Linked DNA regions of Rhinolophus ferrumequinum. The protein of the gene in region 2 interacts with the protein of the main gene of each other region in a pairwise test. Links are inferred from orthologs where the notes say so. Each region holds a gene or a part of one and is shown on either strand. Other genes may lie near its edges.

Evidence for each region.
Region 1: the proteins of GPANK1 (region 2) and CCDC184 interact in binary tests that used the Homo sapiens proteins (3 or more experiments, as listed by UniProt). The two-hybrid records come from large-scale screens. The link is inferred for Rhinolophus ferrumequinum from reciprocal best matches to the Homo sapiens genes GPANK1 and CCDC184.

What each region holds. Positions count from the first base shown.
Region 1 is NC_046293.1:49,614,535-49,621,700, reverse strand, and holds CCDC184 (coiled-coil domain-containing protein 184), read right to left. Parts: upstream 2,940-7,166; 5' UTR 2,410-2,939; coding exon 1,819-2,409; 3' UTR 588-1,818; downstream 1-587.
Region 2 is NC_046286.1:2,157,611-2,165,851, forward strand, and holds GPANK1 (G patch domain and ankyrin repeat-containing protein 1), read right to left. Parts: upstream 3,244-8,241; 5' UTR 2,950-3,243; exon of another isoform or gene 2,736-2,949; intron 2,416-2,735; 5' UTR 2,198-2,415; intron 1,923-2,197; exon of another isoform or gene 1,920-1,922; 5' UTR 1,818-1,919; coding exon 1,207-1,817; intron 687-1,206; coding exon 245-686; 3' UTR 96-244; downstream 1-95. Other genes in the region: CSNK2B (casein kinase II subunit beta), read left to right, coding at 4,178-4,249, 4,950-5,052, 5,622-5,737, 6,182-6,257, 6,363-6,552, 7,195-7,285; LY6G5B (lymphocyte antigen 6 complex locus protein G5b), read left to right, coding at 8,160-8,232.

The DNA.
Region 1 (7,166 bases), on a different chromosome or scaffold from region 2:
TCTCCCAAATTTTGTTTGGGATAGCCTTGGGAAATCTCCAACGCCCAAGGGAGCTGACTACAGCTGATGTCAGTCTAAGCTCCCTGGGGAACACCTTACCGGCATTCTCCACTAGAGGCCTGAGGCAGTTATTGCGGTTTCCTTTATGATGTGTCACTCTGCCCAGAGATCCCCGGCAAAACCTCCCGAACAATACCCTCTCCGGAAACCTCCCAGGAAACAGGTGTCATGCCTGCCATTCCAGGACTCAGATTTGGAAATCATGTATCAGGGGCCAGGTGCTTCACTTGAAAAGAAGTCTCTTGTACATCTGGAGTTCTGGCTACTAAAAACCCTTGTTAATTTGGGAGTCTCAACACGTACCCTTTCTTTTCCCAGTCCAGCTGGAAGTCAAGGTCCAGGATGGAAGGGAAAGCAGATAGAGTTGGCAAGGACTGTCCAAACCAGGGCAGGGATGGTCAACTCCTTGGAACTGGAGGCAAGGAGAGAGGAGGGAAGGCATGGTCCCTGTGGTTCCCTCTAAGTCCTGGTCCATGCAACGGGCCCAGAAGCCCGACACTGACATCGCCCTAGGACCAGTCAGCAAGGAGGGGAGATGACACCTCTTTATTAAGATTAATACCAAGGAAAGCATTCAGAAGGAATACACAGAGGAGGAGGAAGGGCACACAAAGTCACCAATTGAGGAGATGGGAGGGAGGCACATCAGTTAAGAACCTCAGGACAGCCACATGCTCCATGCCCTGGTTGTGGGGGAAAAGAGGAAAGGAGAGGGGAAAGCGCCATGATAGCCAGGGGCTCACAGAAGGGTCTGAAGCCCCCTGAACCTAACACCAGAGCCACAAGCCCTGCCCCTAAGGGCTCACACACTACTACACAAGTCAACACACGTAACACACACAAGACATGGAGGCAACACCGAGAGGCAGCAGGCAGGGGACATATTGACAGGAAAGGAACTGAAGTTAAGCGGGTGTAGCCAGGAGAGAGACAGTTTTTGGCTGCAGCTCCCAAGAGTCCCTCAAATGTCCCCTAAATCTGGGCTGTTGCTGAGCACCCCAAGTCTCTGCCTGTGAACTGGGCTCTTTGTTCTCTAAGCCCCAGTGAGTGGATAAAGCAATTCCAGATGAAGTCAGTGGCAAGGCAGGATCCGTTCTGCATGCAAAATCCTAGAGGTCGACCTATTATGTCTTCATGCACATTCACAGCCAGCTCCTCCCAGCCCGGGGGCCCTGGGAACCCCATTCTCTCAGATTCCTAGGGCTGCAGTTCCCTCCTCAAGCTTTCTTTACCAATCAGCAGCCGCAGAGATCTGTGAGGGGGAGAGGCTTCTGTAGAGCGCTGAATATCTTGGATTTCAGCAGAAGGGTAAATTTTCTGTTGCCAGAACAGAATACCCCAATTCCTTAATTTCTAGGTAAATCGTTAGAGACTATTTGCCATAGTCCTAGAAAAGTCCTTTTTCATAATAGAAAAAGCAGAATTTTATTTACACAATTCAGGGGTTCTCCTGTTGGCTGGGCAGGGGGAAAGGAAGGGTAGAGGATGGATGGGAGAGTCCAGAGATGGGCGCTTCCTCTCCGGGAACCTCACCTTTCCGCAGTTTGCTACGTCTCGCATGGTTAGGCAGAAAGAATTCTTGATGCTCCCAAAAAGTCCTTCACCCTATCGATCTTTCCTCCAGGGAGTCTCTCTCTGCCTGACCCACAAGAGCAGCGATCGGAGTGAAGCGTGCTGCACCGCGCTGTTGAGTCCGCTGGCGTCATGCACTCGGAAACCCAAAGCCAGCCCGGGAAAGTAGTGCCCCTCGGAGTCCCCTCACAGGGAGGCCTCGCCCTCCAGCTGCAGCAGGGTAATGTCGGGCAGATCGAGGGGCTCCACAAGTGGCCCGGCCCCACCAAGGAGACCAGCACGGGGGCTCTCAAGGCGCTCACAGTGACTAGTGGGTGTGGCGGAGCGGGGCATCTTCTTTTCGTCCTCTTCATCGTCGTCTTCCTCGTCCTCAGGATCTCGACCCAGCAAACCGCTGTCCTCGATTCCAGGAGAAGGGGTCTCTGGTTCTTGCGGGGCTGCCGGAAAGCTCCCCTTGCTGCCGACCACGCCCAGGCCACCCTGGCGGGGCGCCGTGGTCATAATCTGGCACATGGAGACGATGGCCCGCTGATTGGCGCACACGTCGTCCGAGAGCACCTGGATGTGCGAAGCCTGCTCGTCCAGGGCCCCCCGCATCGCCCTCACGTCCTCAAACAGGGCCTGCAGCTGGGCCTTCAGGTGCTCCATGAGTTCCTTCATGCCGCCGTTGTACTCGCCGGAGATCACGTCCCCCACCGCCGGCACGGTGGACACCTCCAGAGGTGCCGGCATTTCGCCGCCGTCCTTGGTCATGATCTCCAGCAGACCGTCCTCCATTGAATGGCAGAAGCGGGCGGTGGCCGCTCTGGGTCCGGTCCAGCCCGGCCTCCAGAGTGGGGGAGGGGCGGGGAGGAGGCGAGGTCCCGGGAGGGACTGGGAGGAGCCGAGGGAAGGGGATGCTCCTGAGAGGGGCGGGGAGCCGACGTGAGGAGACGAGTCCCGGGCAGAGGGTGCGGCAGGATCCGGGGAGGCCCGGAAGAGCCTGCGGGACTAAGACCCGACGAGAGTCCCAGGGCCGGTGTCTCTGCCGCTTGCCCCGGGGCGAAAGTGCCCTCTCCTGCTGCCTCGCCTTCTGGATTGCGCTCGTGTCAGCGCCGCCCTCCCGGAGCCACGAGCAGCAAGTGCCCGCCGATTCCCTGGATCACAGAAGCGTTTGCGAAGGGACCCGGGTCGAGGCCAAGGCCAGCAGCAGGTCCAGCTCGGGACTCCCCCCCGGCCATTAACTGGCAGCGCCTGCAAGTGTGACAGGAGCGGCAGGGGCGGGCTTCCCAGCAGCGCCGCGGATGCTCCCGTTTCCAAGGCGACGCACGGTACGTAAATGACGTGTCTCCATGGCAACCAGGAAGTGGAGAAGAAAAGGGAGGATGGCTGGGAAGCTGCAGTGGGGCTCTGGTGTGTGAGCGAGCGGGTGGGGCGGGAGGGGAGGGTACGCTGCAGTGGCCTCAGCTGAGGCTGGAAAGAGCGTGTGGTTGCAATATTTCTTAGGGAAGCATGAGAGCAGTTTGCTGCATAAACCCCCAGGTCCGGGAGAGGTCATCCCCTCTCCTAGTCTGGGTGCTACACACTGAGCCTACTACCTTGGAAGGATATTCATCTGCCCGCAGTCCTTCTTCAGAGGATTGCGCTAGAGCCGAGTTCTGCTTCTCTGTCCTCCAGCGGTCCGCAGGAAAGCAGAGAGGATACAGCATCCTAGACGAGCTGGGACGCGGCGGCGCCCTGGAGCCGGCCCGGCCGGCCTTGGAGGTGTAGGGGGGAGGACACTCTGGAGGTTTCCGCATCTCTATTCGGCTTCTGCAGTAAATCAGCCCTCTGCGTGTAGATATAGCACAGGAACCGAGAAAGAATGAGATTCCCCCTCCCGTATGAGACCCACCCACTCCTACCCAGGGCACTGGGAATTTTTCCAGGATGATGAGGCAAAGTACTTAAGTTTTGAAAAAGACAGCTCCATAAGAGAAGAGATTTTTGTCTCCTCCGTGCCTTCCATCACCATCAGGGAATCCCCAGTACCTAAAATAGTGCCTGGCACGTAGTAAGTGCTCAATACATTTGTTGAATGAAGAACAAGAACCCTATGTCTTGTTCCCCCATCGGTAACCCTCCAGCCCACACATAGTGGATTTTAGGAGACCTGAACTCAGTTTTGTATCTGCCACTTATTAACTCAGAGACCTTAAATAAGTCGTTTTCCTGATCTGTTAGAGGATTGGACTGGATAATTTATAATGTTATTTCTGAGTAACCCTGTGCATCAGCTCACAGGTGGAAAGGGTGACAGTGTGTGTAAGGATAGCTGCCCCTCCTCAGGCCTGGTGCCCAGGTACAGACCTACACTGAGTGTCTCAACCTTCGTGACAATTCCTTTCCCTACTTAAGGGGCCAAGTGGGAGGGGAGCAGGAGGAAGAAAAATGGGATTTCACATATTTACAGATGACTTCAGACTCAGAAGTAAACAGCACCTGGGTAGCAGCATACTAATATAACCTTAGTCAATTGGAGAGGCCAAATGATCAGAAACCAAAAATGAAGTTCACGAGAAGAAATAAATCTGGGGAGGAGAAAAGAACTGTATCACTCCAGGATGGGGGAAGAGCTAGGTATGAGGGAGTGTTTTGTATCCTGGTGGTTCAAGGTTTCCCTGGTTGTGTACTCTGGTAAGGAAAAGTAGGACTGGCCCAGAGGAACTCTTATGGGCACTAAAGAACTGTTTGGCTTATGCCTGTTTTACTGCTATTAAAATAGAAATAATTGGGAAAATACCCTAAACAGCAGAGTGTTTAAGGCATTGCTGATATAATAAAGTATTGTGCACCCATTAGAAATTTGATTTTCTAAACAAATATATGAACAAATTAAAACCCCTACGGTATTGTATTTTCTAAAACAAATGATCTAATCCTGTTTGCTTGCTCATTCCTTCCTTACTCATTCCACAAACTTGTGGCGCTCTCACCTTGGTTATCTCTCCCACCTTTGTCATGTGCCCTACAGGTTATTCAGAAAGCTCAGGAGAAGACAAAAATGCGTTTCCTTGGCTTCCCTAAGCACAGCTGACTTTACCAAAAAAATCTATACTCTGCTCTAACTAGAAAAGACAGTCGTGACTTGCAGGTCTTTTTGCTTGGGTCTGTTGCTTCACATTTCTTGACCAACACTTGGCATGGACTTGTCGGCTCCTTCACCCTTCAGGTGAGTTCTTGCTTCCATCTACAAGGACTGACCCTGTCCCCAGTATAGGGCCTCCCTCTTAGCCTTCACCTTACATTAAATGTAGCCCCCATATTGTAGGAGCTGGATTATACCATCATACAAGGCCCTTTGCCACTATTGTTGGGGATACCATGTATGTCAAGGTTTTCAGCATAAGATTACATCATGCTCCCAGAGGTGCTGGCAGAAGTCCACTGAGAGTGCCAGGGGTCTGAGCCTAGAGGGAGGGGAAATTATTGGAGAAGCATGAAAGACCCTGGGAAACAAGTGCAGAGATCAAGGGGTGGGGCTGATCCAGTCAAGCTCCAGGTCAGACATTTGAGAGCCAGGGGTGGTGGGAAGTGGGGGAGTGGACAAGTAGCAGAACTTGAAAACATAAGGAGGAAACAATTGGTGCCTCAGATTCAGAACCAGATAATTTTAGGAATTCCATGTGAACATGAGACAGGGAAAATAGGAGAAGGGTTTAGTCTCAGAAAGTAAGGGGGACAGATGCAGAGAGTGAAGTAGAGCCTCAGTTATCTTGCTGGGATACAGGGCTGAGCCCTCTGGACTCCAATTCCCTGGCGTTTGTTGAGTGGGTCCATTCCCAAGGAAAAAGAGGCTGAATGGGTACTCTGGCCATGTCACTAGAGTATTCACATATAAAAAGTATGCCACATAGCAAGAAAAAAAGAAACCCTGCACACTCTTCTTCTGCTTCCCGCCTTTCTCTGTCTTCTGGGAATCACCTAGCTGTTCTGTTCCTTCATTCCAGTCTCATAGGCTAAGGAGGGGAATAGAGTCCATGCTGCATACACAGAAGTCTCCACATAGGTACACTTAGTCCCAAACGTCACATTCTCTCTAAAATTGTGATTCTCAGTAGTTCTGCCAGTTTTCTCTAGCTGTTGTGTAGTTTATCTCCAGTCTCTATATAGCTGGTATACTTTTGGCATTATAAATCTAACAGTCATGGTGAAGACGCTTGCTCTGTTCCTCTAGATCTAGAATAACTGTTTCATCCTTAAGTCCACAATCACCGATATGTCTCCCCAAATTCAACTTTTATGAAGCTGAGTTGCCTTGTGGCCCATCTCGGCATGATATCACATTCAAAAGAAACATATCTAATAGCCAAATAGAATTAAAAAGCAATTTATATTTTTTATTATAATCTCTGGGAAAACTCTAAAGGGGTTTAGCATAGAGGAAGACATCTTAAACTTCTCTTCCCTCATCATTCTCTTTATGGCATAGCTGTCTGCCATTCTCTCTCCTTTCTCCCCAAACATCCCCAAACTTTCTCTCAAGCATGGCCCTTGCTTTTTCACTGCCTGCCCCCCTTCACTTCTTGGATGGATCCTTTTTCTCTTCTACAAGAAGAAACTCCTTGTTTCAGCTCCTTTGATTCTGTCCCCCCTTCCCCTCATCTGCACAGATGTCAGGAGCCCCAGCTGTCAATGACAGGGGTCCCTTCCTAGAGGGTAAGAAATATTGAGAGGCTAAGAATACTGGTATTGTTGCAGGTTTTGTCTGTCACATATTAGACTAAATTTTATCAGCCTGGGAGGGAGGTTTGCCTCTCATGGGGGTTTGCCACCCTTCTTTGCTCATCTCCATGCTTATACAGAGAAATTGGCATGGTAGTTTACAAGAACCCTCAAATCTTTTGAGCCTTTGACTGGAGAGGGGTTCCAACTGCCTACTCTCTCAAGAGACTCTAGTGTCATAGACATGGCCACGAGGTCACACACACACACACCCCTTACTTAAGGCCTGAGTTACTAGACTTCTAGTTGCTTGCTGTGTGCCCTCAAACTACTTTTAGGAGTCCTAAAGGACAGACCCCCATGTCACCCCCATTCCTTTCTCTTCCATATTAACTACTCAGCAAGAATTCCAGGAGACCTTCTAACCTCTCCTGTAGTCTGAATTTCCACCTGTCATTCCAAATAACCTGTCGTTCCAATTAGACCTGTTTTTCTGGTGTTCACCCTGTCTTCCCTTTCTGCATTGCCCACTGCAACAGCTTCTTGTGTCAACACTTGCGGGGGCTTTTTCCCACTTTTAGTGCACATTCAGTCCTTTATCCTGTTCCACTCTGACATGACTAGTCCCAGTCTAGGTTGTGCTGGGTAGTTGGCCACGCTCACACAGGCATTCAGAGCCCTGGTGCAGGGCCTCATGCACCCTCCATCCTCTCCATATATTTTCTGCCCCCAGAAAGTTGCCAACAGCTCAGGGCCTGGTTTGGCTCCAAGTCAGACTCCTCATCAGGCTGTGATAGTGCTGTACCCCCTGAGGACACTCACAATTTCTGTTGTTATGGGACAATTTTGCT
Region 2 (8,241 bases):
GCCCCTATTGCCTCAGGTGGGGCTTGCATGTGGCCCCCAGACTTGTTTGGCTTCCCGCAACAGCTTTCAGAAAAGTTAATAAAACACAAAAGAGTAAGAAGGTTGATTTATTTCTCAACTCTCACTCAGCTCCCCTCTCCCAAAGATAGGGCCTACTGACCAAAACCTGAGGGTCTGGGACCTGGACAGGTCAGAGGCTCAAGTTCAGACCTCAGCAGCAGACCAGGGTCAGACCTTGCCAAGGTCAGAACTCAAGGTTCATGTATGTCCTCAGATCCCGCTCCCAGGCTCTGTCCTTCTCCTCCTGCCTTCTCTCCTCCCTCCGGCTCAGTGTAGTCACCTGAGGGACTCTCTCCCTCCCAGCCACTGCTCGGGTATCCTGAGCCCGAAAGTGTGTAACTCGAGGTTGAGGTGCTGGTCTGTATCCTAATCCTTCCTGGTCCCTCTTGAGGACTGTGGGGATGGGGATAACACGGCCCTTGCCCTGGGGTCCCAGCCCCATTCCAGGCTCCCAACCCCCCCTCAGCAGTAGCTTGAAGCCTGGGCTGGATGTGGGGATCCCAAGGGACAGGTTGGGGGTCTGGCGATCCCGGGACAGTGACAGCAGGTGAGCAGTAGATGTGTGATGGTTAGAGTCTTGGAAGTGGGCATCACAGGTGTCACAGTACTGCGGGGAGGACTGGGACCTGCAGAGGACGAAGAGAAAGGGTGAGGGCAGGGTTGGACAGGGTCCTTCCAGTTTTTCTGCTAAGGAAAAAATTGCCTTCTGCCCCGCTTAGCAATGAAGGACCAGAGGGGAATAGTTGGGAGAAGAGATGGTAACTAGGCCTCATAAGGCTCTTGGGCAAAAAAGGAATAATGGCTATAGCTAATGTTTCCATAAAGCTTACTATATGGCAAGCAGTGTTCTAACACTTTACATGTATTAATGCATTTAATCCTAACAACCCTGAGAAAAGTGCTCTTTTCCCCATTTCTCAGATGAGGAAACTGAGGCACATAGACGTTAGGTTGCTTGCCCAAGTAGAGTTAGCATTTAATCCCAGAGAACTCATGTTCATAACCACTCTAGCACACTGCCTTCCCTGTCAACCTATACGGGGATGGGGGAGAACCCTTCAGCTCTGTGCTGAGGCCTCTGGTGTGGAGTGGCTAGGAAGGGCAGAACACACTGAAAGAAGGACATGGGCACAGGCGTCCCCTCACCGGTTCTCTGGACTCCTCATCTCTCCGTGGCTCTCTCTGACGGTGCGGGCCACTTCAGGGAAGCCCGCTTCTTCGGCCAGCTGAGCAGCATCCCTGCCACCCAGCTCGCAGACCCCAACCCAGGCAGCCCCTCGCTCTAAGAGATAGCGCACAGCCGCTCCCTGGCCTGCTCGGGCAGCACACATCAGGGGGGTCCACCAGAAGGCATCCCGAGCATTGATATTCCCCCCAGCTCCCCCTTCCTCATGGGGATCCAAGAGCCTTCTTAGTTCTGCCAGGTTCCCCTCCTGGGCTGCCCTCAGTATCCACTGAGTCATTCTGTCCTCAGCTTCAAGAGATCTCCTTTGTCCATGCCCTCCTGCTGCTCCTGCTGCAGCCTCCCTCCTCATTCTTCTCTTCTTCCGCTTTCTCTCACTGGCAGGCTCAGGCTGTGATCTCTGGGGTTCAGGGGCACTGCTCTCTTCCCCAATCAAAGCCTCATAGAAAGCCCGGGCTGCAGCCCCATCCAGGGTAGGCTCCAGCTCTTCAGGCTGTGCCTGCTGCTGCCCATCTTTCCAGAGGTCGCTGGGGTCGGTGGCCGGGGTGAAGGTGATGAGGGAGGGCCTGGGCATGGCTGTGGGAGAGCTGAGAAAATCAGACTAGGCAAGGGGAAGATGAAACATGCAAGCCAATCCCGTGGTGGCCCTGCAGTGACCACAGCCACCTCCAGAGACCTGCTGGGATGAGGGAAAGTAGCTTTAGATTAAAACAAACAAACAAAAACCCTCCCACCCCAAAAGTTACCTCACAACCTAGGACCCTACAGGGCCTAAGGATGATAAATCACGTGGAAACACGGAACCCTACAATAACAGACCATGCCCTTTAGTAAAGCTTAACAAAGACTCCATGGGACAGTTACGCAGAGGTCCTGCGTTCAGCCCCCTCCCCCAACCTCATCAACAATAAAGAATAAGTAATCTCTTTGAAACTACCGCTCTGTAAGGCATACCATTAAGAAAAACAATCAGTCTGGCCCTTTAGACTTTCCTTGATCCTATTTTGGGTATTATCTTCTCAAACAAAAACAGACTTGACACTTCTCCGGAAGCAGGAAGCACATTTGGGGGAAGGCTGCAACCTGCGTTGTCTTGTAGCTTTCGTACTGCAAAATGGCACCTCTATGCAAAGCAGTTCACAAGATCAAGTAGCCAGACGACTAGAAGACGCCTGAGTGGAAAAAAACCAAACTTTTACTTGAGGGCACAGGCTTACAGAAAGCACCAGGTTTCCCGCCTTGCAACCTTTCCAATAGTATTCGCGCAAAGTACCACGTGCCAGCATAGCACGAGGACCGAGGATCTGTCAGTTGGGGTCCTGCTTTTATATAACGCCCCACAATGCCCTTCGCCTCCCTCAACTTGGTCCCAGCTCTGAGCTCATTTTCTGGAGCTGGGAAACCACTCTCTGGGTTAAAAAAGGCCCTGAGGAGGCGGAGGGAAATCTATGGAATGCCCAGAGCTGTGAAATAACGTCACGCTGCCCCTCACCATTACTCCAATCAGGGTTCGAAGGTCACACTTAGCGCCCGCAGCAGAAGGCCTCATTCAAGCCCTAAGAGGAAATGGAGAACTGCAAGGGGACGAGCAGCAGAATAATGGCTAGCACCACCTCAGGTTAGCGCTGGGCCGACCCGACTCTCACACCGCTCCGCTCAGCCCAGCACATCCTACGCAGGTCCCTCAGCACGGAGGCCGGCCTCACCTCCTGCCTCAGGCGGCCGGACCCCCAGGTGAAACATGGGGCCCGTCGGGGGTCTCCAGTGGCGTGTCTGGTTCGGGCGACGGGCTGCCTGGGGATGAAGTCAGTCCCCTGGCCAGCAGGGGCGCGCCGGGGCCGAAGTCTCGTTCGCTGTGTGAGGGGAGCGGCAGGAAATCACCCAGCCACCTTCGTTCCTTACCCCGCCCCCTCGCGACCCCCGGGTTCCGCGATCACCCGACTATATTTTTCAAGCTCTCTGGCCCAGGACACGGTACAGGGCTTCCGCTTCCGGTGGAGCTTCGCTGCGCCCCGCCCCTAGCATCTTCCCCAGGGGCCTCGCGACACCAGGGTCGTGCGCAGGTCACCCTGGAATTCGTAGTTCGCCTTTCCCTCGTTTCGCCAGTTTCTCACCATCAGAGACTCTATCTCCCGGCGTCCATCGCGGCGCCCGACCCCTGGCGCTTGCGCGTTGCCCTCTTCCCCACCCTCTCCAATTTCCACTCCCCCCTGCCCACTTCGCCTGCCGCGATCCGGTCCGCGGCCTGCGCTGTAGCGGTCGTCGCCGTTCCTTGGAAGTAGCAACTCCCCTCCCCCACCCCGGTCCTGGCCCCCGTCCAGCCGGTGAGTCTGAGGTCGTCGCCGCGCTGAGTGCCCTGTCCCTGGGCACGGCACATGGGGGTCTCCGCGCTTCGATGTGTTTGGTGGAGAAGGAAGAGACCTGGTCCGGCACCCAGGGAGGAAGAGGTGGCCTGAGGGGCGGAGGAGGGATGTGGGGACTCCTGCGAAAGGGAGCTGAGGGCCACCTCCCCCCCTCCCAGGCCATGAGGAAAAGAGGGGCCCATCTCTTGCTTGGAAGGAATAAACTTCGGCACGCTTGGGAAATGCCCCGGAACATGTAGAGACCTGAGGGAGCACGGCCAGAGTTGACGTGAAGGAGAGAGGGGACTGGCCTTTGGGAGCGTCAGGGACGTGGGTAGGACTGGTGGGTCAAGACCCGTCGGTTTCTCGCAAGTGGCGGGACCCCAAAGAATTTCTCATCTCAGAAAAAAGGGGTTGAGCTGTGAATAAGAGGATGTGGGGCGAGGTCCCAGAGTCTGGGACGCCTTAAGGAAAGGTGGCCCCAAATTCTTCCGTGGTTGGAGAGCAAAGTGTGGGAGGAGGGAGGATACCAGAGGCAGGGAGGGAGAACGTGGGTTACACTTACACTCTTCTTTCTCCAGCTGACGTGAAGATGAGCAGCTCAGAGGAGGTGTCCTGGATTTCCTGGTTCTGTGGGCTCCGTGGCAATGAATTCTTCTGTGAAGTGAGTTCTCTTCAATCTCCCTACCTTTCTCCACATGTAGTCTGGCCAGAGATTCTCCCACGTATTCAGCTTCTGCGCACTCGTCTCGCATGCTTGCATAGAAACGTTTTCCTGTCAAGGAAGAGTGCCCTCAGTAACCCACCACTAATTTGTGGTGAAATAGTAAGACTGGGGCCCAACTCCCACCCCTGCCACCCGCCAGCAGTATAACGTTGCACAAGTTAGTCTGTCTGTTTTATTACTAGAGGGGTATTGGTAATATCTATTTCTGGGGACTGGTAGGAGAATTAAAACGCCGCGTTGTAAAATGTTTCGTAGCATTTAACATAATGTGTTTCAACGTAAGGGATGTAACTGCCTTCAGAACCCATGCTTTTCAACCCCTACCTTTCTCCGCCATCTGCCCCTAAGGAGAGAACAAAACTGGTTCCTAGAGGGAGGAGCAGGAGTAGGGACAGGTATCTTGAAGGGGAAGCCTCTCTAAGGAAGGGAGTGCTGTACATGCTTATCCTTAGAAAAGAAAAGCCAAAGCTTCTATGGACGGCAGTGTAGGTAAACTGGGGAGAGAGACTCAAGTGCTTCTGCTGAGTTGGGAACAGAAGCAGCTGTCTTGAGGATAAGGCACCAGTTAGAACGACTTGCTCAGGTCAATGCCAAGGACTGTGCCATGGGTTCCCTCTTGACCTCTGCATCCTGACAGGTGGATGAAGACTACATCCAGGACAAGTTCAATCTCACTGGGCTCAATGAGCAGGTGCCTCACTATCGACAAGCTCTAGATATGATCTTGGACCTGGAGCCTGGTGAGTCACCTCAGGGTTGTTTTGTGTGTGTATGTGCTTTTTTTCTCTTCATATCGCTATTCATCTGCTTCTTGAATTTCTAAACTTCCTTTTTGTTGTCTGATTCCCTTAACCCAAAATCCCCTACTTCGTTTTGATTGCCCCTCCTGATTCTTGCCTAGTTTTGTGACTGATACCACTTGTCCCCGCGTTCTGATGCTATAACTCAGCTATATTCCATAATGCATTTCCCCAGGGTTCTCATTTTCCGCTTCTTTATCCTACCTTGCACTTTCCAGCTATAGTTACATCTTCTGCATTGATGTCTTTGCATTTGTGTGTTGAGGAGGGAATTGGGAAGGAGAGAAGAGAGCAGAGGCTGGGAAGGTGTGGAGAGAAGGTAGAGCTACCTTGGGTTAGTGGAAGCGTCAGAGGCCCGGGTTTCTGGGTCAGGTGCCCACATGATAGGTGGGGAGAGACTCAAAGGTGGGTGTACTGAAAACTGAGTAGCCAGCAGCCCCCGGGGATGGGCAGGGCACCCAAGAAAGCTGTAAGACGAGTGGTTGCATTCAGCCGGGGCCCTGTTTCAGATGAAGAGCTGGAAGACAACCCCAACCAGAGTGACCTGATTGAACAGGCAGCCGAGATGCTTTATGGATTGATCCACGCCCGCTATATCCTTACCAACCGTGGCATCGCCCAGATGGTGAGGCCTCTCTACTCCTACTTGATTCCTGAGGCAGTAAGGGAAACAGGGGTTCCTGCAGCAAGAAACCACATGTTTCAACCTTGTCAAGGAGTCTAGCTGAGAAGAGGACAATGACCTCAGAACCTGGGCCTGGAATTTAATCCTGATTGGGGGTTGTTCTGAAGGGGGTGTTTTCAGGGAGGGGAACGTAACCTTGGACAGAGAATTGTTAGAGACTGTCTCTTTCTCGGGGAACAAACAGCAAATGGCTCTGATAGTCTGCAGCCTGCCTAAGTGGAGGAAAGGAAGCAGAGAGTCACATGGCCGGTCTGGGCCAGAGAAGGGGCCTCTGGACAGAAGGAGATAGGAACGGGGCACAGAGTGATATGGATTGGGCAGAGGAGGGGATTGCCTCTTCTCTTCACACCTACCCACCAGTCTTTTCCATTTTATTCACCTCAGTTGGAAAAATACCAGCAGGGAGACTTTGGCTACTGTCCCCGTGTGTACTGTGAGAACCAGCCAATGCTCCCCATCGGTAAGTGTTGGAGAAGGGGAAGGAGGGCAGCAGATGGCAGGTCCTCTGGAAAGGAGGTTGGGCAAGGTGGGAGAGCCTGGCGTGCTGAGCCTGGCTATCTCCCAGGCCTGTCAGACATCCCAGGTGAGGCCATGGTGAAGCTCTACTGCCCCAAGTGCATGGACGTGTACACACCCAAGTCATCGAGGCACCACCACACGGACGGCGCCTACTTTGGCACTGGTTTCCCTCACATGCTCTTCATGGTACACCCGGAATACCGGCCCAAGCGGCCCGCCAACCAGTTTGTGCCCAGGTGGGGAGCACGGCAGAATCACCAGGGGTCACAGGACAGGCCCAGACCCCCCCATAGAGAAGGGAAGAGGGGGCAAGGTCCTTTCTTGAGCTCTGCTTCTCCCAAAGCCAGGGCTCTCCCTGCTGAGGGACCCTGCCCTGGGGAAGTTCTTTGATTGCCTACGCCTCAGTCTCCAGATCTGTAAAATGGGGGTGATAATAGTACCTACCTGGCAGGGTATTTTTAAATATGTGAAGTGCTTAGGATAACGTTTGGCACTTGAAGCACCATTGAAACAGTGGCTGTTCTTACACCGTCTTGGTGTTCGTCCTTGGCCAGGACATCTCAGAGCCACATTTCAGGTGTGTCTTATCTTCCCTAGAGCATTGTTTTTCCCCTGGCGTGGGGAAGGAAAGTTCAGTTTTACATTGAAACAAGTACTGATACAGACATCTGTGCACATACATACATAGCCTAGACTTGAGTTTTAATGGATGTTTAAGGTACATTCCCAAATATTCTGGAGGGGAGGAGTTTGGGAACCACTACCCTTCAGCACTGAGCAGGCTCGTGGACGAGCTGGGGTGGGGAGCAGGGATGCAGGCTGCTGGCAGGGTCGCGTGGGGCTCACTCTGCTGCCTCTTGACCTCTGCCCTGGTCCAGGCTCTACGGTTTCAAGATCCATCCGATGGCCTACCAGCTGCAGCTCCAAGCCGCCAGCAACTTCAAGAGCCCAGTCAAGACGATTCGCTGATCCCCTTCCCACCTGTCCCTGAGTGTCCTCAGTCTTTGACACCTCCATTCCTTTGCTGCCACCCTTTCAGGAACCCTCCATGGTTTTTAGTTTAAATTAAAGGAGCCATTATTGTGGTGGGAATATGAAATAAAGTGGAAGAAAAGGCCATGAGCTGGTCTGGTGCTTGGGGTTGGGGAAGGGAGGGTAGTGGTGTGCTGGACGCCAGGGGTCCTCATGGCCTAGTCCACCCTCCCCAAGTTGAAAACCAGCACAGATTTGTGCCCTGTGGATTTGGGTGATGGTGTTAGTAGCAGAGCAGAATTCCTAGGACTGGGTATGCGGGTGTGCAGTCACAAGGAAAAGACCCAGAGAAAAATGAGATTTCAAAGACTAGAGAAATGCTTGTTCTTTTGGGACTGCTTACGGCTGTCTGTTTATACTGTAAAGGGAAATAACACTATCTTTCGGTTTTGGTTTTACAGGGAAAGGGGTTCAAAAACAATTATAAGGGGTGGAGAAAGGAGGGAAGAGGTCCAGAATTGCTGTTCCATGGTGTTGTGCGGCCCCTGCTGGGGAAACTGAGACATGCTCAGCTCAGAAGGATGGGGATACTGAGTTCCTGGCCCAAGTTCCTCCCAACACGATAGGAACTGGCCCTGCTGTGTGGGGAGAACAGCAGATGGTGCCAGAGACAAGCTAATCCGTGGGCCCTTGAGGGGCAGGAACAGATGTTGGGGAGGCATGCCGGACAAAGGTAGCTGGATGAGGGCCTAGGTGTTGCCCTTGTCCCAGCCACTGCTCCCACGTTCAGGAACCAGACCTTGTGGGTGAAGACACACTGTCCCTCCTGTCAAGTTAACTTCCTGCAGCCCGAATCCTGCCCCAGGCAGGAATGCAGCTACCCACAGCAGCTCCGGCTCAGACTCTGCCTGCAGCTCAGGATCAAAGAGCACGGTCACAGGAAGGTGGGGTTT